Oreochromis niloticus: one gene and its partners. The protein of the gene in region 2 interacts with the protein of the main gene of each other region in a pairwise test. Links are inferred from orthologs where the notes say so. Each region holds a gene or a part of one and is shown on either strand. Other genes may lie near its edges. The genes, in order: sap30bp, fhl3a, cnnm3 and pak5.

The links.
Region 1: the proteins of fhl3a (region 2) and sap30bp interact in binary tests that used the Homo sapiens proteins (3 or more experiments, as listed by UniProt). The two-hybrid records come from large-scale screens. The link is inferred for Oreochromis niloticus from reciprocal best matches to the Homo sapiens genes FHL3 and SAP30BP.
Region 3: the proteins of fhl3a (region 2) and cnnm3 interact in binary tests that used the Homo sapiens proteins (3 or more experiments, as listed by UniProt). The two-hybrid records come from large-scale screens. The link is inferred for Oreochromis niloticus from reciprocal best matches to the Homo sapiens genes FHL3 and CNNM3.
Region 4: the proteins of fhl3a (region 2) and pak5 interact in a two-hybrid assay, tested with the Homo sapiens proteins (2 studies listed by BioGRID and IntAct). The two-hybrid records come from large-scale screens. The link is inferred for Oreochromis niloticus from reciprocal best matches to the Homo sapiens genes FHL3 and PAK5.

What each region holds. Positions count from the first base shown.
Region 1 is NC_031973.2:25,197,118-25,204,328, forward strand, and holds the start of sap30bp (SAP30-binding protein), read right to left. Parts: upstream 3,020-7,211; 5' UTR 2,975-3,019; coding exon 2,863-2,974; intron 1,105-2,862; coding exon 995-1,104; intron 1-994. UniProt on the Homo sapiens protein: Plays a role in transcriptional repression by promoting histone deacetylase activity, leading to deacetylation of histone H3.
Region 2 is NC_031976.2:27,158,430-27,166,307, forward strand, and holds the start of fhl3a (four and a half LIM domains protein 3), read right to left. Parts: upstream 3,011-7,878; 5' UTR 2,772-3,010; intron 1-2,771. UniProt on the Homo sapiens protein: Recruited by SOX15 to FOXK1 promoters where it acts as a transcriptional coactivator of FOXK1.
Region 3 is NC_031972.2:10,683,056-10,690,555, forward strand, and holds the start of cnnm3 (metal transporter CNNM3), read right to left. Parts: upstream 3,023-7,500; 5' UTR 2,573-3,022; coding exon 1,877-2,572; intron 1,787-1,876; coding exon 1,452-1,786; intron 289-1,451; coding exon 112-288; intron 1-111. UniProt on the Homo sapiens protein: Probable metal transporter.
Region 4 is NC_031980.2:4,445,302-4,452,626, forward strand, and holds the start of pak5 (serine/threonine-protein kinase PAK 5), read right to left. Parts: upstream 3,013-7,325; 5' UTR 2,661-3,012; coding exon 2,606-2,660; intron 1-2,605.

The DNA of each region.
Region 1 (7,211 bases), on a different chromosome or scaffold from region 2:
GGTGTGACAGCAGAGATTACCGGGGAATAGGAGAAGCGTGGAAAAATCAAAGATTGTAAAAACGGTAAAAGTACAGACAGCGCCTGCAGTGGACACTTCATTGATTTTAAACACTATTAATCTTCAGCTCTTTGTACATTGAAAGTTCGCTCTTTTCTGAGGCTGGCTGACAGACCAACAACATGACAAGTTAGCTCAAAGATCAGTTGTATCGCAAGTTGTTTTTTTTAACCCTGGCTCCATCTGACCACAAACATTCTCTGCAGGCAGACGGGCCATCAATGACCACCCACGGATTGCCTTCATGCAATCCCAGGTCAAGCATAAAGCAAGCATAGATAAGACTACATATGTGGCATTCAACATCAAACAAAGGAGGAACCATGGTTTGTCTTAACCAACCGTTAGCCTTTTAATGTTGAAGATTTCATCATTGATTAGTGGTCTTTGATCAACGGTCATGAGAATTTGCATCTTAATGATCAAGGAACTGACCTCCCAGCCCATTGTTCCTTCAGTGGTGCTAGTTTCAGTCATTATGCAAATGTACTGTTTATAAGATAGGGGAAACCTGCAGTCAGCTGAAACTGAAGAAGACACTTGGATAAGTGACGAAACATTTCTCCCACTGAAAACGCTACATCCAGATAAACAGAATCAACTTTTGGGGATGTTGAAAAATTGCATTTATGCTTAAAAGAAGTCAAATAATGTGACCCTAAAACTAAAGAAAAGAAAAGAGAAAAAAAAAGTACTTTGGTGATGCTGATTTTGTAGTGGGAAGATCCTGATTATGATGCAGATCCAACCAAGCAATCAGCCTTCCAAACCCCTCTGTACTCAGTGAAGATTCAATGTCTCAAAACATAACACATGCTCCGAGACCACACAACATGTGAACTGTTTTCCTGTCAGCTAGAGACATCAGTGGAATGGAACTGATTGATGAGTAAAAATAAAATCTAGAAAGCTAAGCACAGAATTCAAAACTGACCGAGTTGTTTTCTCTGCTGTCTTCATCTGCAGACTCTTTTTCTTCTGGGTCCACGGTTTGGTTCAGGTCATCCTCATCATAGCGATACACAAGGCTTCCTACACGCCCCCCTATTGATCGCAAGGGGGGGGGGGTCAAAGACACAGAAGTAAAAGAAATCAATTAGGCATCACTAGCAGCAAAATCATTCTTTTATTTCACACATAACTAATGAGTGATATCATTCTAACTATTGAAACCTCAAAGTAAGCCAGCCTATGAGACAACAGGAAATAGCCAAAGAAAGAGTTCGTCCTCAGTTTTAAATTGTCTGTTCTAGCCCTCATTGCCTATACTAAAGGCAACACTGGGACCTCACTAATGGTAATATACTCTGAAAACTTTACCGACTCCCTAAATTGGCACTTACTCGTGAATCCCTGCTCTGAAAGCTTCTGTGCCAACTAACAACCACATGTCATATGTCTCTCACTCTCAAGAAATTTACTTTAAGCATTAAAATTAGAAGAGCTCAGTGGACAATACTGATGTATATTTTATCAATGGGTTATTAATGTAAAGCAGTTTTACTGCTGGTGTAGTCGCTTCCAGTGGAGTACATTATGCACATCCATCTGTAGCTAATGACCACTTTCATTTGAGATTAATCCGATAATTATTCTGTCCAGTAACAAATTACAATGTGGGTTAGTAAAATTAGAATTACAATGATCTTATGTCACAAGTCATAATCCAGCAGTCCAGAAACAAATCAACAGTACATTTGTTCCCTGTGTGCCAACAAACAGGCTTTGGCTCTTTTAGAAAGGACGATATGAGGGAAAAAAAACATAATAAGGCCGACATGAAAACTGCCAGTGGATCACAACTACGGGAAAATATACTACATTTAGAAAAAAAATATATATACTACCCACATTCTGCAAAAGAAATCAAGACTCAAGCATAAGATTTCATTAACCAGTCTATGCAATTTGAGGACAAATTGAAATGAGATTGTTGTTACTGCCGGACATGGTCTGTGGCTTGCTCCATCCGTTTTAAAAATCTGTGAGCATCATAAGACTTTGCTCTACATATCTGTGAAACTGTGCGAAAGTTAAGAAAAAGGTTGTCTTTGCTTTTCTTCAAAGGCCCTTCATGAAACTGTATTTAAACTCTGTTAGGCAGTTTGATGACACTCATCTCCCTTAAATGTATCCAGTTAAAAAAAAAAGTGTACAGCCGTTGTCTTTGAGGAAAAACGTGTTTGATTAGTGGGTGCAGATTGAAAATGGTGAGTTGAAGAAATATATTTCAGATGCAGTGTTTTTTAAGCATTTTCAAAGTTGGGCTCTCGACTACCTCCAAACTTTCCGTCCATTAAAATGAATGGGATTGCGCTATCGAGCCGGTTGTTTTGAACGGTGATTCTAAAAAAGAGACTGGTTACTTGCAAACGTTTTCCACGAATAAGACTAGACTTTTTTGTTTTTTGACCACAACATACACCACTGGTGAGATTGTTGCAATCTCACCTCTGAGATTGTTGCAATCCCACCAGTGAACGAGGTCATTTCGGAGTCAAGAACACAACCTGGTATCCTGACACAAAACGCACCCTCCTCGGTTAATTAAAGACGCTTGTTAATTTCCGTTTGGCAAAAGTTTCTCTCAATAAAACAACACCATCCAGTGAAATATGCGCATATCATTTTTTACGAACAAAACAACATGAACATGAAGATCATCTAGAAAGTACGTTAACTAAGCTAGCTACATGCTAACGTTAGCTCCCACATGAAGTTCCGCAGTAAGGCTGGCGGAACTACAGCAAAGTATTTCATAGTCATTAAACGTATGAAAGGAAGTTAAATACTTTTATATACCTGATTCTTCTGGTTCAGGGTCAGAGTCGGGCTCTGAATCATCTCCATAGACCGCTAAAGACGACAGCAGCGTACTCTTTTTACCGCTCGCCATTTCTGTGTAGTATCGCATAAACGGTGGGTCGCAGAATATTCACGTCATCAAAACGGTAAGACACCGAAGGAACCGGTCTGGCACTGGGAAATGTAGTCATTCTATTGTTGTACCAGGAAGAAGCTTTAAAAATACTTGTGTAAACATCTCTTAGGCATTCATCCGTTACAGTTTACACCCAACATATGTACTTGGTATTGTAGGTATTGTACTAGGTATTGTTTCACAGACACGAAACACTAAACTACATTTATGCCAACCAAAACTTATAAAATCTGAATGATTTTATACTAATATGTCCAGTTGTGATGCTAAGACTTTTTAAAGTCTCATTTAAAATGTATTCTGCTTTCATACGCACTTAACCTGTGCTGCACATTATTGCATACATAACCTGTTCTATACACCTCCTGCAATATCTGACAACATGGTATTTGACTTTTTTGATATACTAGAAACACTAGATGCACAAAAACCAACACGTCTTATACACCACTGTAAAGCAAACAAACCTTCAGATCAAACACCCAGTATCCAGTAGGAGTTTAATAACAAAAATTATTTTGTTATTTTGCATTTCTGTGAAATGCTGTGAATATTTAATCTCTAGTTGTAAGAACTAATTAACATTTGGGAAACAAATGTGATCCATCTTCACTAATAACCCAAAGGAAGTGGTTTGAGCAAGCACTCATTCGAAAACTAGTAAATTGCTGTTCTTTCCTCCTGATTACATATGATGTGGTTTTGAATAAAGCTGTTATGATTCTGCTGTTGCCATACTTTTTGATGCTTGTGTTTCTGAATATTTTACTCTTCTGTGTGCTTTCTTTGTCCCCCTTCTCTACTCATAGCTGTTCTGTGCTTTTTGGGGGTCTCTTTAAGTTCCCTTTGCATTTTATTTTGAAGGTTAGTTTCTCACAGGGCTGTGTTTTTACTTCCCTCCATTGTTCTTTTACCTTCCTTCCTTCCTTAATACCTAGATTGAATTCATGTGTGTCTTATTATCATAATCCCCCAGCCTGGTTGCATATTTAATCACACTGAAATCACATTGAAACAGTCACTTTTTACTATGTGTGAGCGTAAAAAAAAATCACTAGATAAACATATGAATTTACACAAACATTTGTGTAGACTGATAGAATGGTTATGCATAATTTCAAATCACAATAAATTGGAATTGGAATAAATTAGAAGAAAAGGTTTAATAGTTATTAGTGTAATAGGGTTATGATTTTAGTGTCAGTTCATGCTATTTTTCATACAGCTGCAATATTGAAATATTTTCTTCTTGTAGTGAAAAGTAGTTTGAGTGCTCAGAGTAGAAAATCCAGTCCATTCACCATTTTACAATTCTTACAATCAGCTGCTTGGCAATGACGTGTTACAAAGTGGAACAATGGTTTGCCGTCTGTGATGTGGTCCGGCCATTTTTGCGGATACTGAAAAAATATATGGGCATTTTAATTTCATTCAAATTTTTGTTGAAGAAGCCTTAAAAAAAGAGTCCCATACTATGTAGCAAAGAAATTCAAAAGTGGAAAAGTGTACATTTTCTCTTTTATCTGAATACACTTAAATGACTCTGTCCTTTGAATTCTTCTGCCTTCTCTTCGTGTTCTTGTCTCCTGAGCTGCGGCAGCATCCGTACAGTAGAGCAAAGATGACCAGAGAGAGAATTACCAGGACAAACACTCCAATGACGGCAATACCACCTAGTGCCCACGGCTCCTGATGCATACGATGAAGGAACCACTCCACCCAGTCCTCAGGTGACCCTGTGGGTTTCTGCTGGTCTAGTGCACTGTATAGAGAATGATCAGCCAGATGAAAACCAGGTAAATATGCCCTGATATTTACCAACTCACACAATTTTTATTAATACCATCATTTGGCACTAAGAGCTGAAAGAAGCACATTATCTGCCAACTAAAAAAAGTTATTTCACACTCCAAATATCTAAGCAACAGATATGTTATATTCTTATTGGCACGGCCCATTAATCTGCAGATGCTAAGGGCTTTCGTCACCTAGCATATTCATTTTCAAAAACTCACCTCTCCACCGCCATGTCCTGCCAAGTGAACGGCTCACTGAGTCTTAACAGAACGTGAAAACACAGCAGAGTACGACAACAGAAAGCTTAGACTCTTCAACTGCTTTTCTGATCCACGAGCCGAACTAGAAGGTTTTTTTTAAATAGTCCAAAATAACAGATTACTTTCACTTCGAGCACAGGAGTGGTGTTCTGAATATGCAAACGTAGCACAGTTCCTGTTTGTATTTCCAGGTGACTGCCATTTCAAAGTAAAAGCAACAGCTCATGGTTAATGTTTAAACTCACAATGGCAAAGAGGAATTCTGGTGATAAGGAATGTGCACGATTGAGCAACAAGTCACTGATGACATTTTGATCCTCACTCTAATAGACTGTGGTGACTACAATAGGCATAAGAACAAAGAAATGTTTATTTAATTAAAGTATTTAACATCCGTTACATTTACAAAAGCAAGAAGGAGCAAAAACACATAAAAGTGGCGTCTCAGAAACACTGCCTTTCCTGTATGTCACACTACTATTTTACAATATAACGGGAATACATTTAAAACTGTTGCATCAAACAATGAATAATTCACATTTTCCATTGGCACGATTTGCTTCACTGAGCCAGCAGAGGGTGCTCTGTTTTTGAACAAAACGATGTTTCTGTTGAACTTTGTGTCCAGAGCACACATACATGTTGGAATGTACACTGTCCGTGTTGTTTCTCACATTCCTGATGAATGTGAACAGCATCGCAAACCACATTTGTAATAACTGAGTCACTGTGACATTTCAGGACGTATCAGCTTTTGTTGCCGTGTCTCTTTGCCAATGAAACTCTGCCACACAGTGTTTCATTGTTTTGGTTTATAATGAATCTTGATGAGTTGTGCCTCTCAGCTGGATTCCAGTGGTGTGGCTCTCTGGAGCCTTATCCAGTACTGGAAATATCATGGCACCAACTTCCCATCCTTGCCTGTTTTTGATACCCACTTAATTCTTCCAGAGAAGCCCGAAGAAGGATGGAGATGATGTTTCTAGGTGTGTTCTGTCCTGTCTCTTCCTCAGATGTTGTGTAAGGGTTGAACTCTTGAGGGCTGGTGCTTTGGCTTCGTAAAACAACAGCAGTGGATGCATGAGAGTAATATCATGAAGAGAACCGTGGCTGTGAGGAGGAAAACAAGACAGAGGGAGAAAAAAACAAAACAGAGACACGGGGTGGGGTTAGCACAAGCTGGGAGAGAATTTTGAGTCTAGAAATTTTCTACACAATTACTGGGTCCTATACTGTGAAGCAAGGACAGCATACTCAGGCAAGCTTAGTGTACCTGGGCACATGAAGGAGGTTATCAACTCAACAAGTCAACCCACAGCTTATTAATCTAGCTACAAGCATGTTCATTTAAAGTGGATAAGTCTACTGGCAGCAGGGTGACTGATTTTTACAGAAGAACATAAAACTACTTACGTTTAACTATTATTAAACGCAAGCACAAAAAACAGCTGCTGCAGGCAAACCAGCGTGGATGTGTGTGTTATTAAAAAAGCACTGTTGTGTGCTTTTAAGTGGTCAGTAAGACTTGAAAAGACCTACTGTTTGGAATAAGTGACTGGTGATTTTACACCTATTGGTTTCCTATCTCCACCATATACCCCACCTTTTATGTGAACTGCCTTCATATTACTGAATAACCCACAATTAACCCTTAAATTATCTGGATAAACCTAAAACCTAGTGATATAGGTGTCAGGGTTTGAGTTTTCTCTAGTTTTATACTCTTATTTATCTTTATGACTCTGTATTCTTTAGTGTTGACATTTAGCTTCCTATTATTCCTGTTATTTGTTCCTTTGGTTCCTGAGTCCCTTTAGTTCAGTTCTCCTGCTCTGAAGGTTCATTCTGTGTTTGTGCTTTTGTGATGGGATCTGTGTGTGAGCTCCATAGCCTTCTGTTTATGGTGTTATCTTTACTCTCTTTGTGCTTACAAATTTCCTGTTCTTCTTTGCCATTAGTTCCCTGTCTGCTTTAGTTGATGACAGGTTTGTTAATCCCCTTCTGTAATCCCATTTTGTTCCTTCTACCTTGTCCATGTGTTTATCATCTGTCTCTGTGTCAAATTGGTAAGGCTTAGTCTGGGTCTCAGTTTTAGTTAGTCCTCGTTTTATTTTGATAGTCTTATGCCTCGCGTGCTTCGTACTGACTGTTCC
Region 2 (7,878 bases):
GAGAACCACTTCTTTACAAATCTATATTCTGCTCTCAAACCACCTGCAAACACTTGACCACCAGTTCCTCCATCATTATCCTTGGCCTTATTTCAAATGGTGCCAACACATAAAACTAGCTACAGACAATTCATTTAGCTGCAGTCCCACTACAGTTTAGAGCTGGCCATGGTCCAACCACCATGCAGGGAGAAACCTTTAGAAAACACTGAGACCTCTGAAGAATGTGACCATGGTCAATGAAACAGAGAGGGAGAGAGGAAGAGGGAAAAAAGCAAACAAATACATTATACAGCCCGTGGGCTCTGTCAAGGCAAGCTTCCCAGATGCTAAATGGGACAGAATGACTGTCTTTTGGTTACTAGGGTATTACTTCTGCGTGTTACTGTGGCAAGGCATTTGTGTAAAAATAACAAACATAACCTGTCAATGGTGAAAGCACAATGAGCGTTCAAAAAGAGCACATCCCTTCAATTCTGTAGTGACACAAAGAAAACAAGGGTGCTGGATCTAATGCTGATTTGAACATTTGTTGTCTTTGCATTAAAACACACCTTATTTAATAATTCATTTAGCATTTTTCTGCATTAAATGAGGACTCGAAGCACTTTCTACTACAAGTCTTCATCACATTACTTTATGTATAAGCACCTTGCCTAACCATCATGAGCAACACTCACACACCAATGTATGCACTGGGGTAAACTCAGGGCTCAAAAACTTGCCCAAGGATACTTCAGCATACAGACTAGAGTAGTCAGGGATTGAACCAGTGACCTTCTAATTAGTAGAGGACTGCCTCTGTCTCCTAGGCCTCAGCTGTGCCGCAATGACACATGTGTTTAAGGAACCACTAGGTTTCAGGAGTCAAGCCCTTACTTTAAATCTAATAATATTTTAATTTTAACAATGGATCAAGAGACTATGCATAAGCAGTTGCTCATCACAAAGACATCACCCAGATCTGCAGGTTCCTTCATTTGCAAAGAGTATCAGCATTTTTGCCTCATTATTTTCTCATTTCTCGTGTCCTCATCCTAACTTTATTATGCTCACTGCGTATCTCTGCTCTCATTAAACCCTATTCCCAGCTAAAGCTGGAAAGTGTGACTGTATACTACTTGCTGAGTTCCAGACAGACAAAACTAACAAAGAGGAACTAGTTGAGAGAACAAAACTAAGAAAGGAAAGTCAATATCCCAGCTATAATCACTGTTTGGCCAGCTTCAGAGCTCTAAACAAAAGCCTGTGCTGTTCCTTATCTGCTGGATATGCAAATATGCAACTGTAAGTGCCATATCAACTTTATATGGTGACAATACCATATGTCAGTGCTGCACAATAGTTTCTGTGTTTCTGAGATCCCTAGTGATTCAAAGCATGGTTAGAGTTTAACTTGACCAAATCTTTGTATGTTAACGATCTGTTACAGGCAATGCAATGTAATAAATATCCTCCTAACACAATGGAAAAACTGAATTTGCATCTTCAGTTTGTAACTTGACATCACATGTAGTGTCAGCACAAGAGCAGTTGTTATGTCCCTGAAAGCCCTTCCAACTATACCCAAGACAAAACACAATACTTTGTGTCTGTAATCTGCTTACGCTGTAGAAACAAAAATAAACACCATTTCCATCTTCAATCCTTGGATTAAACTTTATCCCTTTGTGAACACGTTACTCTCACCGCATGCCCACTGCACCCGCATGACACAACAGATGAAACACCAAACAATCACCACAAGGATGACACTGCTACTATGCATTATGATGTCACGATACACGCCCAACAGAAACCTCGAAGCTGCAGTACGGACACACCCATCCCAGACGCACACTGCCATACCCCACTTTGTTCCGCTGGAGAAATGACAAGTTAAGCCCGAGGGACTTTGCTCTGTGAGGCCTTCACACGTTGCTCAGCCGGGAGCTTCAGTGGTACAAAAGTTGCTTCTTAATCCTTCCTCGACACAGTTCAGTGGGTCACACAAACTAACACACACTCTGTTTCTCCATTAAGTGGACATTATTTGTTTTATGCCTCATTTGCATGTATGCATATACTGTTTTACAATAACAAAGAAAAGGAAAGGAGAAAAGAAAAGAAAGGAGAAAAACATATAGACAGACAGAAAAGATCCAGGCCCCCTGACATGTCTCTGGGTTTTACTTTGCAGGCTTATCCACAGGCCCTGTGTTTGACTAAGGTGTGAAGGATTAATACTTGTCATAATGTCAAGCCCAAGCCTGCTCTTATCTTGCAATTCCCAACATGAAAAGTGCAGAGTAAATGTGATCTTAAGATGTTAAATTATACATGAAGCTCATACTGTGCAGTTAAGTGCAGTGCTACCAGTTCAACCACATGAAACGCAACTAATAATAATCAGTATTTCAGTAAGCTGATTACTATTCAGCTGAAAACACATTTCACAAAGAGTCAACTTTTGCCACGAGACACAATCAGAGGCTGTTATTTATTATCAATTTACTGAATATAAAACAGTAATGACACAACTAGTCATTACAACACTTTAAGTTCTTTAAACTCGAGATTCTTTGTGAATTGTATTTTCAGCTGAATACCTCACCAAGAATCAGTATGTATAAGTTACTTTATTTTGCCATGATCCATCTTTAGCGAAGTAATTTCCTGTTTTAAAGGTATATTCATCGTTTAGTAAAAGGAATACCGTGATAGTAAGAAGGGGAAAAGTCTGTATATAACTATCTATCTGTATATATTTTTAAAAGAAAGTTGAATCCTACCAGGAGTCTCTGAAGTCTGGAGGCACCTTTGCAACTTCAAAGTGGTAACCCGCCTCTTCCTCTGTGTCAGCAGCCACTCGCTCAGATCAGGACTGGGATCAGTTCGCAGGTCGCTCCTCCGACGTGTCGCCCGCAACTGTGCAACTTTTTGTGTTTCTTCTGACTGTTGATAAACCTCTGCGGCAGAGAGGGATGCAGCTTGCCGGCTACTTTTGTCCTACTACTGAGGAAGTTGCTGGTGAGTCACAAGATCCCGCCCCCCCAAAAAACATTCCTCCCTTCCTCCCTCCCTGCAGCGACTTCAAACGAGACCTGAGAGTAGTCTAGGCAGTGGAGGGTACATCCCAACCGGGCCTTATTTTTTCCGTGCTGCTGTCAGTTTTAGTAGAATTACATATTATAGCCGAGTTAATATCCTTAACAGGAAACACCTACTTACAATAAGTATGTTGGAGAAGGCGATACTGCTCACGAGCTTCCTTAATTAATTCTGACAAGCAATCAGCCGGTTAGTAAATAAATCAAGCATCTAGGAGACAGAAGTAAAAAGTCTGTCAGATGAATTTGAAAGTATCTGTGAACCTCCCATGCAATGTTTAGAGTTAATACACATGAGACGTGACCACTCTATGAGAGCTGGGATAGACTCCAGCCAGGCCAGCACCCTGAACTGGAGAAGCGGGGGAAAAAATAAAATACATTACGATAAAAACATAAAAAAATAAATAAAAATAAAGCATGAATGGATGCATATAATAGGATTAAAATGCTCTGACATTTTGGTCTCAGATCAATTCCAGATATTAATGACTTGGGTTCAAATAGAGACTTTATATTTCCTATAGTCTAAATAATGTGTAAGTATAAATATTAACTGGTGAAAGTGAACAGCAGCAAGCAGCCTAGATATGTATTAAGACATTCTTGCTTTTCTAAAACACACAAATCTCTTGCTTTTTAAGTGACATTTGTTGACCTTTTCATGCAGTTACATTACCAAAAAGGGTAAAGAGCAAACCCAGTTGTTAAATTACACTTCCCTATTTTAAAGTGTGGGTCATTTCTCCACTCCCCATGTTTCATTTTTTGTCATGACTCAACAAGTGGGAGTGACATTTTCCCCTGGATGCAGCTGGCTGCTGTTTTGTCATACAGTGAATGATCCTGATATCTCCATTTGAGTCATTATAGTGAATCAGTATGTTCCCAACCCATTAAACACAGTATCGTTGGCACAAGTGCCTCCATGCATGATAAACAGTACATTATGTTCAGGTCGGCAGTCACCATACACTTTCTGTGGTTAGGGATTCAACCATATACACAGCAGCAGCTCAAACATAGCAAAGACCACAAAGACTACACTCTTTGTAGGAAAAGTTTTCAAAAAATAACTGTTTGTGAATTGGTAAAAAAACCTCAACATTTAACAGTTCAATGTGTGTAATTAAAGAACTGTGGTGCTAATTTCCAACTCCATATTTTCAGTCTACTAGCATATCTTTGTATTGCAGTTCACAGTTCAAAGCAATCCTTGACGACCTCATACTGGCCTATGCTGCTTTGATGCCGCCCCTAAGCTCATCCTGTGGCCAAAAAAAGCTGTTTTTAACCACTGTTTAAGCTCATAGCAGGACTTCATTTCAAGGATGTCAGTATTGTTATTATTACATGCTGCTGTTTGCAGCTATACTGAAGACCCTCTCACAGATTTTCCTTTTAAGGGTGCTCTGCAAGTTTTCAGTAAGGCGGAGATAAGACCATAATAGCCACCGCACCATATGACCATATCTGTGACTTGAACCAGTAATTAATCTTCTCACAGTTTGATGATCTCAATTTTCGAACCTTCACTGTGGTTTATATGCTTCTTGCAAGGCAAGCTATTTGATACTCTTATTTTAGGATGGCCTCAATCAAAGGCCACATAAAGGTCAAGTAAAAAACGTCACAATGCCACACAGATGTGAACAGTGGTGCACGCTTTCTCCTGGGAGACATTATTCACGTTACACTGCATTTCAATAAAAAGTGTCACAAACAGCTTTGCAAACAACAAAAACAGACCATGCAAGAGAATTTCAAACCTATCCTGCTTTCTCACTTCCACCTAACAAAACAGGATTGGTCTCTGGGTGATGTGTGCGGAGTGACAGTTTCAGAAATGTGCCAGTGTGCAGGGCAAAAAGGTTTCATATACTGTTTTAGCCATCTGACAAGCCCTCTGGCTGTAAGGCACTAACATAGTAACTTAAAACTCTCTGATCAAGAAAAAGTGTCCATCCTCAGCTATCTGTTAGCTATTTGTTATGCGATTCAACTCACTATTTAAAGCAAATTTCACTTAAATGTATTGCAGAGAGATGAAAACATCTCTTCACTGTATGATAAATAACTGACTAGATGTTTGTATTAGATTGTGGACATACTTTCTGTAAGCTGTACCACCACCCTTCAATGACAATCAGTAAATAAGAACAGCGATCAGTCAATAAGCTCCTCCTTCAAATAAGACTTTTCCAAGAAAGCCAGTGCTCAGAAGTATTAAATACTACAATATAAATTCCTGCTAATTTGATTCACTTAATATGGCATCGTTGTTTCTTGATTGTTTATGGACGAGCAACAGAGGATAGCCCATATTAAGTTAAAGTCATTAAAGTTAAAGTCATATTAAGTTAAATCATTACTAAAGACACATTTTTATGCCCTGGCTTTTAACACACTATGATCCAAGCATTTTGGTCTTATTTGAATTAGTTTTAGTTATTGTTTTAATTCTTTTATTGTCCTATTATTGTTTTTTATTGTTATTATTGTATTACATTGTTGCTTTTTAATGCCATTTTTATATTGTTAAGCACTTTGTGCAGCATTGGCTGTTTGAAATGTGCTATATAAATAAATTTGACCTTGACCTTGACCTTAAAGTTTAAAACAAAACCCTCTGACCATGTGGCACGTTGTTTTTCATGGTTCTGTGAAAACTGAAAGAGTGTGATCCACACTCATTTGACCCCTCACTTCCACGCAACCCCCTAATTATGAATTCTAATTTTACACTCCGAGGCGTGGTCCCATCAGGCTGTGTGAAACAAATTACAGGATTACAGGCCTGTCAATTCATCGTGGTCGAGATAGTCCGATGAGTTTCTTACTTTGTAACCAAGTTAACTGTGACCTTCACCTTAAACATTTATGTTTTAGTTTTGCAAAACAAGTTAAAGGTTTAATATGAGTCAACTGAATGTGACTTGATCATGAACAGAAATGGATCATAATGTCTAAAGTGAATGCTATGCAATGAATTTTCTTGATTATTGTGTATTGCTACACACACCACGCTCTTTTCTTGGATGTGTGGTTTTGAAACATCTGAGGCAAATTAGCTCAAATGAACAACATGACCCTGAGCACAAGACCAATGGTGTTACTAAATTGCTAAATGCCCCACTTGAGTGATATCTAAATGTGTCCTGCACCAATTTGTGTGTGTTTTCACCAGATACATGATGGCAAGTGGACATCGTGACATCCAGCTATAATGTAATAAAAATATTGTCATATTCAGTGGTGCGAGGCACAAAACAGCACAAAATCAAAGGGTGTTTGGATACTTAAATTGAATTTACAATATCTTTGTAGCTTTAGATAGAGAAGCACGTGGAGTACACCATCTATCATCTATCAAAGATAAGCTCAAAATAACCTATCACAAGACTATCGATTTAAAAACAAAGGCTTTTGATGATATCAGCAATTAGAGCTTATTTACAGAGCACATCAGGTCTCATCTAAAAACCCTACCCCTTTTTTCTACACTTTGCCGCCATGATTGCTTGGAGTATAAAACCAGTTATGGCACAATATACACTCTCAAAACTCAAGCAGAGAAAATAAGCACCATATCAACACTTAATAGTAGACAATTTTGTTTTACAAGAGTTTGTGGTTAACTTACTATTGTGAGAATCCCACCCAGTAGTGCCCCTATGTTGTAATTTACTGGGAACTGGGCATAAAGAAGCAGAATGTAACACTGTTCTATTACAAGGGAAAAGCTATGCATTCAATATGTACCGTGGGCATCACATTACTATATGTTACACCATTAGACTGAATCAATATAAATGCTTTTAAACTATCTAGTATGTCAGTCACAAGATAAATCTGGGGTGCTCAAAGGATCCTTCTGGGGTAAAATGATGTCTGCTATTATATAATATAATACTGAGTGTTTCTTCTTGTTTTGTTTATTAATCCTCTTTGATTTCATTTTTTTTCTTCTTAATGTTGGGTCATTTTACTTACTTAGTTATCTAAACTAAACCATATGAGGAATTCATAAGAGGAAAGATGCTTGACAGAATTGCTAACTACATGAAAACATCTTCATCTTCTGTTTGCAATAGGCAGCCAATCAGGAGAAAGTTGGCCTTAAGGTTTCCTTAAAGGGGGAAGAACTACAGCATCTTGAAAGTAGATGATTGAGCAACTGCATGAAGTCCTGGTATGAAGTAAATAGGGATTATATTAAATTGTGTGCCAAGAAAAAGGCATTATGGATATAGAAATAGGCATAATGGGTTCACTCTAATGAATTCTAAAGTCAGTTTGAAGTGTAGCTGCCAGATGTTGTAAAAAGTTTGATGTTTCCATCTAAGAATAATAAAGTACTAGAAAATAGAAATGATGTAAATAGAATTTCCTTAACACTACTTTCCACCGCTGACAGCAACAACTTATTCAATCTCTTAGGAGATACAACTAAATAATCACAGGAGAAATTTGTAGCCCGTGCATTTTTCGACTGGGTTGGTCAAATGGCCCGTTGCAGATGAAGACCAACCACGGCCAGGGGAGACATACCAAAGTCCTGAGCTCACCCCGAGTGCAGCAGCCTCACAATATGTCAGCAGTGTTATTTTTACGAGGTCATATCGGAAAACCCAATGGCTCTGCATCTGCCCTGCAAGGGCATTCCTCCATTGCTGACCATGAACAAACCCACAAGCTGTTGTGCTCCTGTTCTTGTGTCAGCTCGTTACAAGTCCCTGATTTCCAAAGTAGTATTTACCCCTGCCGTGGCTCACCAGGCATTTTACTT
Region 3 (7,500 bases), on a different chromosome or scaffold from region 2:
AAGCTGCCAATTCTACAGATACTCTGTTCAGATGAGGTAAATGCTGCCATGTCAAGTTTTTATGCCGTGTTTTTTTAAGCTGTTAAGTGAGTGTCGTGTTGCTGATCCCACCTCTCTTCCTCATAAATGGGCACACGGGTGTAACCACTCTGCATTATCTCAGACATAGTGGAGAAGTCTAGGACAGCCGAGCTAGGCAGCATGAAGCAGTCTTTCAGAGGTGTCAGGATGTCCTCCACAGTCTTAATGCGCAATGTCCCACGACTGAACTCCTCCTTTACAAACTCACTACAAACATAATGAAGAAAACAACTAAGTCAACAATCAAGTCAATTATCAAATCTTCTAGGCTAATCTTTAAGAACCAACTTCAAGTCAGGTCTCAAATCCTACAAATTTAATGCAGACTAGTCCTAAAAAAAGTCTATTGAACCAAGTTCAAGTCGAGTCTTAAATCTTTTGAAAATGAGTCTGAGTCCAGTCCCAAGACTTAATCTGTCTAAGGTGTTAATACAGTTAGGCCAATACACACATCAACCCTCACTTTGGATAGTCCAGGTAAAATGTAACGTTCTTTTAAAGGCAAGTCAAACTGAAGTCTCAAGTCTTCAAGAGTCTTGAGACTTAATCTGGTTCAAGCATCAAATTTTTACAGTGTTAGGCCAGGTCAGGTTTCAAATCATTACAAGGCTACTATGGGGTCAAATGTGAAGTCTGTTAAAAAAAACAAGTCTAAATTTCAAAATACTCTCAAGACTTTTAGGTCACGTGTGATTCAAGTTTCAGGTCTTTCATGGGCAAGTGTTAAGAAGAATATAACAATTGTGAAGTCTTTAAAAAGAAGTCCACCCTCAGAATAATCTCAAGTTTTTTGGACTAATCCAATTTGAATATCAAGTGTTTAGAGATCTAACCAAAGACAACCCCTAAAAAGTCAAGTCTTTCGGGTTCAAGTTACATTTCAAGTTTTTACGAATGATGTTCCTGTTAATCATTGGTTATGCGAACAGTACAAGAATGCAGTGGCCAAAATCACACAAAATGCTTCTGTTAAAGTAAACTGGCATTAATCATGAATCAAAGCATCTTAATGTGTCAAACATTTTAATCAAATATTAAACTCAAACTTAGCAAAAAGAGTCTGTGTCTGGAACACTAAATTGTTCCTGTATGTCAGTGAATCTAACATAATGTACCATAAGAATTATGCACTGTAGAGTATGACAGAACACACTTTTTGTTGGTTATGTCCTATAGTGTCTTTTTTTCTAGTTCTGTTTACTCTGTAGGTTCAGAAGCATCATTTGTGTTTTTCTTTCTTAAAAAAAACAAAAAACAAACAAATAGATTGCTTGATAACAGTTTTTTTTTTTTTTTTTGACCAAGTGTCAATACTCATCGCACCTCTATGTCAGATCTCTGTGATACTCTCCCAAGTCCACTATATTTACCTGTAAGGATCATTCACGTTTGCCCGTATCATCTCCATGGCCCTCTCCCTTATCCCACAGGTGCTGATGTCTCTCCTCAGCCCTAGATCCAGAATCAAGCCCAGAGGGCAAGACAGGGGGCAGGTAAGCACCATGCAAACCTGGGCCAGCCAGGTCAGACCAGGCGCTAGCTGGAAGCCGTAACCGGAGCACAAGATGTGAGGAGCCAGCTCAGCTAGGAAGAAGATAAGGAAGCCGCTGTTGAACACCGCAGAGGCGATGGAGCCCAGTGCCCGGTACAGGAGCACACCGAGGACAGAGTGCCCCAGAGCACACAGGAACAACAAAGAACATGCCTGCGGTGGAAAAGACATGCGTTTAGGAAACACTACTTCATTTGCACCTTTCTTTCCCTGTGGCTTCCCCACGTGCTTTTAGAAACTTACCATGAAGTTCCCCCTTCTCCTGATCGGCTCCAGCCGTTTGGCGGCTCGTTTCTCCTCCTCGGATCCACAGCTGTGTAGGACATAAAGCTCGACTGGGTCCAGCCACAAAAGGCTCAGGTTCACCGTCCTCAGCAATCCGCAGATCATAAGCACAAGCACTATCAGTACGGCCAGACCCCACGGCGGGATGTAGTCTGCAGGCAGATCCGTGTCGGTGTTTATTCGCAGTCTGTCCAGACCCGTAGATGTCCATTTCTCTCCACTCCACACACACAGGTGGTAGTATGTCTGCTCGTTGCCAGCTTCCCCCTCAGAGGTGCGAACCTCCACAGTTAGAAGCACGCTGTGCGCATCGTCGAGTTCTAAATTGGTCACCTTTAACTTGGAGTCCTGGCGGTTGGACTGCTGCTCGCAAGGGTCCAGTGTATCACCGACAGCTCCAGCCGCTCCGCCAGCTGCCCCTGCGAACTCGACCGACGGCAAGCTTCCATTCAGATTACACCCGAAGAGACGGAGCTTAAACGTGGCTCCTTTTGGTACTGAAATGATACGACCCTTCATGCACAGCGGATCCACTGGTTCTTCCAGTCGCAGCCCCAAAACCTGCGGAGCTTTCTGGCTGCAGGCGCCGTACCTGATTCCGCAGAACAACACTATCATCAACAGGAACCGTAGACCTGCCAGGCTGGCCACCATATTGGAATTGGTCAGCTTGGCTTTGCCTGGATCACGTGACTTTAGCCCCGCAGCGGCCCCACCCCCCGGGGGGTTGAGCCAACGAAGCAAAACAAACAGCGCAACTGAGCTGCGCGGCGGCCATTACGGTTCCAGACACGCGCGTACAGGCCTGATCCGCGAGTGTGGATGTGTCGTACATCTTGTTTTTATTGCGTCACATGCCTTTCAAGAAGAGCCGAGTGCAGCCTGTAGTGAATTTAAAACAGCGACAGACGCTCGCTCCCATCTTCTGTCACAATTTAAAACTGCATCACTTTGGGCCTCTTCTGTTAAACTAATACAGCTGTCAGTACTGGGAGAAAATATCACTTGTAGGCTGTTTGGACCTTTTTTTTTAGGCGGGCGGACGACCATGATGAGACCAAGGGGAAGCAAAACGGAAAACATGAACATAGGACAAGAACTACCAAAGTAAAACAGGAAACATGAGACAGTTCACAAAGACGCAGACTAACACGAAGCACAAAAACAAATGTAACTAGACGTGGAACCAGTGTTGCCAACTCCTCAGTAAGGAAAATCCCTATTGGTTGTCCTAAAAGTCGCTAGAAGTCGCTAAATGACGTCATCACCTAATTTGCATAATTGGTCATGCTAATGTAATTGTAACCTATGTTGTTGGAGAGAGAAATAACATCGTGGAAGAGACATAAAGTGAGTAAAAAACGTCCTAAATGCATTTAGAGTTTATTTAGAACTACAAATTAAATTTCTTTTAGCAATTATTGTTTTTTTTAATGTCACAATTCCAACCCTGCTCCTTTACCCGGGCTTGGACCGGCAAAAGTGGCCCGAAATAGGCACTCTGGTGGAGTTACTTTGTGTGTGTGTGTGTTTATAAGTAGTTTTAAACCTTGTGATCCACAAAACAGCATAAGAGTAAAAGAGTAAAAGAAGAACTGACTGTGTTACAGCACCCGCTGCTTGTTCAGAGTAAAAGCGATACGCGCTTTCACGTCTTTTTTAGCGACTTTTTAAAGAAAAAAAGTCGCTAGGGGGTCTGAAAACTCGCTAAATATAGCGACAAAGTCGCTAAGTTGGCAACACTGCGTGGAACATAGTTTTTGTCTGTATGTCATCAAATGAAAAATACAACAACTGAACAACCAGCTGTTAAGTAGCTAGATTCATTCCACTCCAAAAATCCAGTAGCTGGTCTCCTCAGCTCCCAGACGTTTACAGACTGTTGTCAAAAGAAGAGAGTGGTAAACATGTTTTATATGGGTTAATATTTCCTGTGCTCTTTAAAGATATTTAACCACCATTTGATGTGGTGGTTGTAGGTTGTAGGTGTCATAAGGATTTGCCTTTTAGATAGATAGATGCTATAAACGCCACCACTGTCACGTGAGCATTCAGGTGAAGCCCTGGGTTACCTTAGCGAGTTGATAACGAGCTTCATGTGACCATTTATCCTGATCGCGATTGTTAAGGTAAGTGAATCCAGATAACATAAAGATACCCTGAGTGTGTTGAACGAGATTTGTGACATAGGGTCCAGGTTAGGTTCCAGATTAGAGATTACCAGGTATAAAATCACCAGTTACTAACCAATCAGGTCTCCAGAAAGTGGTGCGACCACTGGAAGATTCCTTGGAGTTCTCCCGGAAAAGCAAGAGGATCAGTAGTGTCTAAAGTCTTTGTATTTCCTTGATGGTACTATACAGAGAGCCTCAGATGCAGCTTTACTGCTTGATTTTTTTCTGTAGGTAGCAGTTTTTCAACAGTATTGTTATTCTATAAACGCTAATATATTCTAACATAGGACAGAATCCTTGCTGAACTCAAAATCATACATAGATTAAGCTTATGTTTGAATTCTGTTTTTAAATTTAATCCTCTTTTTATATTTAATTCAACAGCATTAACTCCGCAACTGGAAGAATAAAAATAAAACTTTTGGGACTACATTATGTTATGTCTGGAAGTGCCATGTTTTACTGATTCTTTTATTTGCAACGTGCTAGTGCTTTATAGAATGTTAGCTGAGGCAGGGTGGGACCGGTAATATGGGTCAACAGTGCTACACGCAGCCCATTGGTTCATTTTCATTACCGACACTGGATTGCCCAATCAAATCTTTCAGCGCAACCGGCCTCTCCCGTACCTTCGCTGTGCCCTTACCCATCTTGTAAAACTGTGATAAGTGTGGAAGAAGTAGCGAAAAGGTGGAGCTAAAAAGCTGAAAGAGAAATAGAAACTAAAAATAAATGCAGCAAAATGTTTAACCGACATGTAGAATATGTGCTGCATCGTGAACTATATTACCCAGTAACAACTAGAAACCAGGCCTCACAGAGCGACAGAACAAGGTGTAATCAACGTGGTAACCAAATTGATAGAGGGACATAATCAAGGATTCAGGTAAAATGCGTGGATGCTTTGACCATGAGCCATACCTAATAGTTAAAGTGTAGCTTTTAAGTGTCATATGCTGCAGGGCAGTGAAACTAAGAGCTAACCAACAACAACTGGACCAACCTGATTATAAAGAAAGCCTCTCAATATCAATGAATTATGTACATAATCAATATAGATTTATTTTTGATGCATTTTTGTGAATGATCATGATTGGTCTCCTGGACAAAAAATGCCAGGCCCAATTTATTTGTGCCAGACTAGCCCTGCGCTAAGGGGATAGATTTTATGTGTGCAGGTTTGTTAAGCCGTACCTGAAATCACTGCAGCGCTACGGTTTTAATTTGATCATTTAGAAAATGTCATTATGCTCGATTCTAATCTCCTGCTGCTGGGATTGTAACTACTAGAATACAGGATTCACACCAAGAATACCTGTTAAATCAATCAAATTAATTCCACTTTGATCTACGACAAACTATTTCCATGTCTCCTTTATTAGACAATAAGCTTTAATGCTTAATTGTATCCTGTCTGAAATTTTAGAGCTCCAATGTACAGCATTCACCTCAGAAATAATCAGCAGCACTGAGAGTGCACTCGGTGATAAAATAATTAACTTGAATTAAAATGGCTAACCGTTGTTAGTTTTCCCCCAACAAGTCTTCTTGGAACAGCCACTGGCAGGGTGACTGTGCAGAGGTGTTGTAGTCCACAACAGAAGTGGAACACCACCAACTTGTTCATCTGTTTGATAAATTTTTCCACCTTACTGACACACCAGCTGAGGAAAAAACTCTGGTTTTTGGGAACCGTATACTTAGAAATGTGAAGCTAGAAACTCCAGCAACCCTTGTAAAATCCATTCCAGGGGCCAAAACAGGCAACAATGAATCCAATTACAAACTGCCGCCTAAGGATAAGCATAAATAAACATGCAATTCACATTGGCAGTAATGAAACCCTATTACATCAGTCAGAGGTCACTAAAATTAGCACTGGATCAGTGTGTAACTTCTAAAGTGAAATTGGACTCACATTGGAGTTTTGTTTTTTTTTTTGATACATTCTCCATTTTGACTAGCTAAGCGACAGCTAATTATCACCCTTCAACTGCTGGCTGACCAGGTGGTGTCCAGAAAACAATGTAAATTTTCTAGACAATTTTAAGACTTTGAGGAAAACTGAATTTTATTAGAACTAACTTTATCAAACCCACTCTGGATGTTCTAAGTCTGATTTCGAGAAATAAGGCCAAATGTATTAAACTATAACTGTAGTTCAATAAGGACACACACACACACACATATACACTCAAGCCCATAATTATTTATACCCATGGCAAATTTTGACTTAAAGATACTTTTATTGAACCAGCAAGTTTTTTTGACCAGAAATGACACGGATGTCTCCCAAAAGATAAGACTATGTACAAGAGGCATCATTGTGGAAAAAATATATATATTTCTCAGCTTTTGTTTACATTTTAGCAAAAGGTGTCATGTCCAGAATTATTCATACCCTTCTAAATAATCAGTATAGAAGCCTTTATTGGCTATTACAGCAATCAAACACTTCCTATAATTGCAGACCAGCTTTTTGCCCATTCATCTGAGCTTCAAATCTTTCAGTTGCCATTACTGTGATTATGTTCCCTGGTCCATTGCCCGAAAAACACCCCCAAAGCATTAGGTTCCCACCACCATGTTTAACAGTTGTGATGGTGTTCTTTGGGTTGAATGCTTCTCCTTTTTCACACCAAATGAAGGAAACATCATTGTGACCAAACAATTCAATTGTTTCATCTGACCATAAAACAGAAGACCAGAAGTCTTCTTCTTTGTCCAGATGAGGATTTGCAAAGACCAAGCAAGCTTTTGTATGCCTTATCTGGAGAAGTGGCGTCCTACTTGGTCTGCATTAGTGGAACCCAGCAGTGTGCAGTGTCTGCTGGACTGTCTGCCTTGAGACATTGCCACCAGCAGAGCCCAGATTCATCAGTATGGCCTTGGTGGTGATCCTTGGATTCTTTTTCACACCTCTCACTTTCCTCCTGGTCAGCACAGGTGTCACTTTTGGCTTCCAACCAAGTCCACAGTGCAGAACATGTTGTATTTTTTAATAATACTTTTCACTGTAGCAACTGGAACTTGAAAACAATTAGATATGGCCTCATAGTCCTTTCCTGACTTGTGAGCAGCCACAGGTCTTCACTGAGCTCCTTTATCTTAGCCATGACTGTCCACAACCCAACTGCAGAGAGCCGCTGTTTTTCACCTGTAGAGCAGATTAAAACAGCCGTTCCCAATTAATCAGGGTAATTAGTATGCTTTAGAACAGCTTGGACTATTTGGAATAGTCCATTTGGAACTTTGGGTTTTACCAGAGACTTTGTGAAGGGTGTGAATGATTCTAGACATGACACTTTTTGCTCAAATGTAAACAAAAGCTGAGAAATGCACATCGTCTTATTATATTATCTTTTGGGAGACACCTATGTCATTTCCAGTAAAAAAACAAAAACAAAA
Region 4 (7,325 bases), on a different chromosome or scaffold from region 2:
TTGATTAGCATTACCCAGCTGTTACATACACTTTTAATTCCTATAGAAGTAGTATGTGTATGCTAGTTTTTCACAAGACTCTAATCCTGTGAAAAGTTTATTTTTCAAATGATTGTATGTAGCTCTTGGTCCTTGTTTGACAAGAAAATAGTGATTAAAAGGAACCAAAGTAATTTATAGACACTGAACCAAACAACAAGCTAAATAGCTAGCACTTTTAAAATCGGCTAGCAAGCTAGCTAGTTTGTTTTATCTGTCTGAGGGTAACTGAAAACCAATTTTTGTTTTAAATAGGTGTGTAGTGGTAAATCCAGCAGTGTTATCAATATGAACAAAATCTATTACAGTAAACAGCTTTAGCTAAACGAGAGGGATATTTTAATCAAGCTTTCTTTTCACAAAAGACAAAATGTCTTTTGTTTTCCTTCTTGCACTTGTGGGTAAGCAGCCCATAGTGAAGGTGGAAACCCATGACCTAGATGGTACTTCTCGGGAATAAGATTATTAAAGGCTAGCAGGACTTAAGTCGTCAAGGCCAAGCTCAGCAGTAAGGAGACACAACAACACATGCAGACAGACACACATAAACACAGCACTGAACGTGTGTTAGACAGCAGATGGAGACACATGTTCATGTACTCGCCCAGCCCAAACGTACTCCTGCAGCGCTTTTAGCAGCTTCTTTCTCACAACAGTCACAAAACAAGTTCAGACTGAGATGTACTTGAAGCGTAGAGCCCACTGGGAATTGCTGCCACGCAGAAGCCAGAGGAACTACTTACTGCACAACTTCTCCAGGCTGCCGTACGAGCACCTCTCGAGCTGTAATTTATGGGCGCATTGTAAAGCACTTTGAGAAGTTTCACACTAATGCCTGCAAGGTTAGCCCGCCAAAGAGTAACAATGTCACTCTGATGAAAAACTGCACCTGGTAATATATGGCAGAGATTAGAGATTTGCAGAACCGTCATTCCAGCTGTGCTGAACTGCAGTGAGCTGCGACTGCGTGTGTGGTGAACGGCCTCGATCCGATTTTTCACCGCACTGCACAGAAGGATAAGCAGTTTACTCAAACAGCTAATGAAGCTATAATAAAGCATCCTGCCTCTTTATTTCCACTGTAACTCAACACATGGGTATGGCTGAAAACGACCGGTAATAAGCAGAGTACTGTTTGTAATGCAAACACTGATTTCTTTTAGAAGCTACACAACTACTAAAAGCTAAGCAGACAGACACTACTGCATACAAAGAGATCGTTTAGGATGCTGAGGAAACAAGTGATCAAACTGTTTACCTTCATATCTGAGTGTGTTGTATTCATTTGTTCATAAAAAAAGGAAGCGTGAATATCTAAAAAAGAAAGCACACTGGTGTGCGACATGCCTGCATACCGTTTAATCTGTCAGAGCAATGACATTTGATGTTACGAGAAGCATTACATAACATTTAACATCCTCTACACGCAAAAAAGGAAGATGCTCAGCCATCCATAGGCTCATGCAAATGCATTCAAATGTATTAACAATTAGCCTTCAACGTCATTTAATGGGATTCACAGTAACCACACACACACGCTATATACACCAACACACTTAAATGGGCTACTGGTCCCAGGGCAGAGATCCTGACTCCCAGGCTGATTTGTCTCCAAACCATCTGTCACCATCTGAGCCTCCACAGGCATTTCCCCTTCTGTACAACAGCACCTCAACAGACACACACACTGCAGTGAACCGGGGAGTCTGCACGTGTGTGTGTGTCAGCATTCGTGTTGTCTGTGTCTTGTATACACGCTGTATCTATTTTTGGCGCACGCTTTAATGTTCTGTGGCAGCAGAGTCTATTCATCATGTTTTCCAAAGAGCACATTAATTTTCTGTCCTTTAGATTGTAATTTAGAAGCATAATTTGGTATCGAGACGCAGAGCATTCACTCATGCATTAAATATGCAAATACATTTCATACATAATTTAAAACGCAACATGAAAAAGGACATAAATGCCTTCTGATAAACAAGCTGAGGGAGGGCCAATGCTCTCTACTTTGTTTGTTCCTACAGAGAATAGGAGGCACTCCTAATTTAATTAAAAGGTCAACAGGTTCATAGTGAAAGCCTAAGCCCGGTTTGCCCTTTGTGTTCAAGAAATTACCCGTGTTTCTGTTTAGTTTTACTTGAAGTGGTGGCAAATGAGCAAAGTGAGAAGCAAATGTGTCCCTGCATCCTCACAGGTAGTCTTTGTTCCCCCTCCTTCCTCTTTTGTCCTGCCCTGCTCTGTTGTCTGCTGTTCACTTCTCTCTCATTTGCATTCACTTGTTCTCTCTTCACCCTGTTCCTTCAGATGATTTAATTGGCTCCAAAAACTGTTTACACAGACATGCATTTCACCTTCCGTTCCCGAAAGATGTATTTCGTCGAGCGGTAAACAACTCGGTCTGATGGAGAGGCTTTTAAAAAAGATTTTTATCATTTGCACACTGTTCACAACAGTTTGTAACATTCCTCTCTCAAATGAGGTTTAAAGATTTTGGGAGCAATGGGAAGCTCCAGCTCTGATTATAAATATACCTTTACACACAGACTGCGTGAATCAGAGGTCTTACCTGGCAACAAACTGACGGTCTCTTTCAGCCAATCAAAGCTCTCTGGGTAGGCCATAATGAGGCAGACAATTAAGTGCTCCTCAGATGTTTCGCTTTGATGTCAAATTACACTCCTGACAAATCCATTATGCGCCTCAATTTTCTTTGCACAAAAATCACTGAACAGCGAGTCCACCTCTCCAGTTGTAAGCTGATGATTCCCCCCGGTGGAGCGATGCTTATGAGAAGTCATCGAATTGACAAATCAGGTCACACTCGGGACCCTCTGCGTTCCCCGGCGAACTGTTACTAGTAATGCTACCCTGCCTGTATGCTCTGATAACTCCCAATGTGAGATGCACAGGACACGAAAAAGTGCCTACGCCAGCAGCCCGGGCCGAGGCACGGCCAGACAGCTTAAGCCTGGACCCATCCCATTTTACGTTTATTGTTTGTCTAACTGGGTCTGACCGGCCGCGTCCCAAACTGAGCTGCCTCTGACCTTCACTGTCCGCCTCCTACTTACTTGTCCATCAACAGAAGCACAAAAACAACAGAGCGTGAGTGTCCTCTGCGTCCCCACAATCCACAGGATGGTGTTTGTGTGCTGGTCGCTTTGGCCAACACACACACACACATAAAAACTGTCTTCGACCGATGCCAGCGTGTGTGGATATCAACGTTTGTGTCAAGAGCTGCATCACTAGGCGGCCTATCACTGCCTCTTTCACACGGCAAGTCACAGGGAGGAAGACAGAGAGTGTGACGGAGGAGATAAGATGGAAGAAAGAGAGAAAAAAAAACAGCTGGTCCAGTCAGAGACTGTGACAGTCTGGCCGTTTGCCGACAAGAAGGGGACATTGAGCGGTGGCAGCCGTGGACAGGCCTTGTGCTGAGGGCAAACAGTCCCACAGAAGCAGTGCCAGGCTGTCAGGATAACACTGTACAGCATTTTTCCCTTACAGAGAGAGAGAAAGAGGGGATGGGAAATTACACCTATGCAAGGCAGCAGGCCAAATACAAATAAAATATTGAACGCACTGTTGTTTTCAAATAATGCCAATATGAAAAAAAAGGTAGCCTGAGCAAAAGCCAAGGGATGAAAGAAATCTGCAAGTTTAGTATATCTAATGTATACTCGTGGACCGCAAGGCTGATGATACGGTACTTTTTAGGCTTGAACAGAGATTGCTGCTGGTTGTGCTGCACATGGATGTGGAGCACATCCTACTGCATTACTGAAAAACTGAATTGGAGGCACAAAGAATGCAATGAACTCCTGAAAGAACATTCATTTTTAGCAGGTACTCATTGCTATGTGTTTTAATGGTCAGGAAATGAGACACAAGAAATGTGTTTCTGCAGACAAATTTAACTGTAAGCATTTGTGTCATGTTACATCAAGAATTTAAGGTCCATTTCTTCCTGAAGACCTGAAACAAATATTACAGGATACATTTTTTCCCTCAAAAGAGTGAACTCTGACAATTTGGGGTTCTTTTTGGTTAATCACTTGGGAACAAAGGAAACAAACAAGTGTATGACATATCTGTGTTCTCATGATAAATGAGGACTGTTTTTACTTTGCCAGTCACTGCTGCAACCCAACCCATGTCAAAAGAGCTCAAAGTTTGAAGGCAAGCCATCCCATATTCCAGTTTGCGTTGCACATTTCACAGTTCACCTCTGCCTGGCAATAATTTTGCCAGTGTTTGCAGACAAGTTGGGGTGTTCCAGGTTGCTAGCTTGCAACCTGCTAGCAACCAAAGCACAAAGCACAAGGAGGTTTTTTGGTGCAGCGCCACAAATCTCTCTACAACCAATTTCACACACGTGAGTGCCAGAAACCTCCATCAACCACTCACCAACTTTTTGTGGAATCCACCAGATGGTTGCCAGATGGCCCCTTAATGGTCTCCAATCCCATGTAAATGGGGCGTAACTATAAATACTTGTCATTAAATAAATTTGGCTTATTTTGCAAAATATCAGCTTTTCATCTGATGATGATTGTGAATCATTATATCTGGATGTAATGATGTATGTAATTTTTCTAACTGATTTATCAGCCTTATAGATGTCAGTATGTCAGGCCGCTCATCATGCAGTTTTCTGTGGCATTCTCAAAGTGAAGTATGGTCCCACTCCCCTTAACAACCACAGACCAGTAAAATCAAATGCTAAATGTCAAGTACTGTTAGGGCAACAGTTTGAAATTATTTGCAGTCACTGGCTCTTAACATTCGAAGAACAAAACACTCAAAACTTAAATGGTCAATTTAAAGCAATGGTCTAATTTTCGGAGTTCATGCAATAAAAAACTATATCGTTTTTTTTTTTCCTTTGTTCAGAAGGGAAAATTTGTTGTTATGCAAAAAATAAATAAATAATTGTCTTTATCATGTGGTTTGTCACTATTAAAACACTGGTTAATTTAAGGAAAGACTGTGAATTTAATTCCACATCCTATATACGCAGTCGCACATGGAGATGGCAACATAAGCATTCTGGAGGCGGAAAGCTTCAGACTATATAAGTAAAAGAGACGGTTAAAATAATGGCATTTCACGCTGATTTGGCTAAATACCACACTCTTTAAGAGCATCAATACCCTCCACATGTCTAATGAGCGGGTACATCGTAGCTGTCACAATACAGATGCACGTGATGCTTGACGCAATCATAATCCCTGCAAATGACAGAAACATTTGCGAAAGGGAAATATCCAGGTCAGCTGCTTTCTTCAGGTCTCTCACCGATCTCTCACTATCGAGGGAAAGGATCAGCTAAAGTTGTTATCTCATCATGTGATAACATAATAGATGGATATAGCAAAGAAGGGTGACTCTGGGAGGTACCGAGAGATCAGGAGAGTTATCTAAATGAGATCTTTGCAGTCCTGAGGACAGAAGACTGCATATCACTGCCTGAGAAAGCGTGTGTGCAGATGTGTAACCATGTCTATATGTATATATGTGTATAGCTGTGTAAAAGGCTGACCCCAAACTAAATCTGTCTCTTCTTTTCAACGACTATTATGTGAATCGAAGATGAAATCTCACAAAAAAATAGAACCTTTTAATATTACTGCTTTATAAAGAACCAATCAATACAAATGTTCTTGTATAAACCAGCTGAACATGACCACCCAGGTTTGCATGCCATTTGAGAGAAAAGGATGTTGTTAACTGGGACTGACTGACTGATCTATGCATTTAGGACCACTTTTTCAGGTCTAGGTCTTCTGCTGCAAGCTCAGTAGATTAGTAGATCCTCTTCCCCCGCCCCAACCTCCAACTCCTCCTTAGGCGTTTCCAGGGAAGATCGGATACAGTATCCCTCCAGTGTGCACTAGAGCTGCTTTCAGTTAGCCCGAAATACCATCAGACAATGTGAAGGAGCCATACTTCCACCTTCAAATATCATTGCTCCTAAGTTTTAAACTGAACCCAGGCACCACTACAACTCATCCTTTTGATAATACATTTATTTAGTTTATGACCACAGGTTGATTATTAAGTCATAAAACTCATTTGGATGTTAGCCCTTCTCAATATGCACAATATAACTCTATCTGTTGATCTAACAATTCATCTTACTCCAGAGCAAGTATATAATTACATTTTTTATCCCTCTGCTGATATCGGTCATCGTGCAAACAATTAATCTTGTTTTACTGCACAGCAGCGTTGCACTTAACATGATTTTATTGCAGCCCACTGCTGATTTGTGATGGGCATCAGACATAGTGGTGTCTTCGAAAAGTGGGAAGCATGATTATGCATCACATCTGCTGCTGCTGCTTCAGCTGTTGACTGTTTTAATAAACAAGACAAATCTTCAGGCCAAACATGAATGTATTACGAGAGCTGGATTATGTCACCCCTACTCAGCCTTTAATGCCAATTTTATCCCGTCCCAGGGGTCAAGTGAGGTATTACAACCAAAAAAAAAGCTGCTTTAAACAAACCTATATTCAAAGGAATATAATAAATTACTTTAATACTGCATTGAAAAATATATTTAATTATTTTTTACAATTAATAAAGAGGTCTGTAAAGCTGTTGAGTTTTGATCTTTACATTATTATTTTTTTCCTCACCAAGAATCCAGTTCTTATTATTTATTATAGCACGTGAAGCCAAACTAAAACCATCCGACCATCATTTCAGTGAATCCTGGGCATTCATGTTTCAATGTTTCAAAAAAATGTTTTTCCTGATCTTACATTTTGACAGCCTCTACTTTAGGTAAACACAACACAGGTACAGTCAACTATCGGACAAAGATGCATCGTTTCCTTGCATCCAACTCCTTTGTCTGAGTCCAGGCTTCAAAAATATGCAGCTCTCCAACACATCTATTCAGAATGAATTTGCCGGGATTGAGATGTGGAGTAATAACACACTGACACAACAGAAAAAAACAAGCTCCACTGTGGAAAAAAAAACCACTCATAATATTGGATTCCTTAGCCAATAAGCAAAGGTAGATAAAGTGCTGCTTCTTATCTGAACCTGTACACTGATAAAGAATGAAGGAATAACCATTATTCAGCCCTGCCATCGACACTATCAAGCACGTGAAAGGAAGGCTATGCCATATGGTATTAGTTTCAGTGCCCCAGGGCTAACATCTGTATGCAGACAGCATCCACATCTAGACTGAAGAGACAAATGTTTCTTTTTTTCCGAGACTGAAGCAGCCTTTTTGTAGGCCTGCCATTTCACTGAGAAGCAGT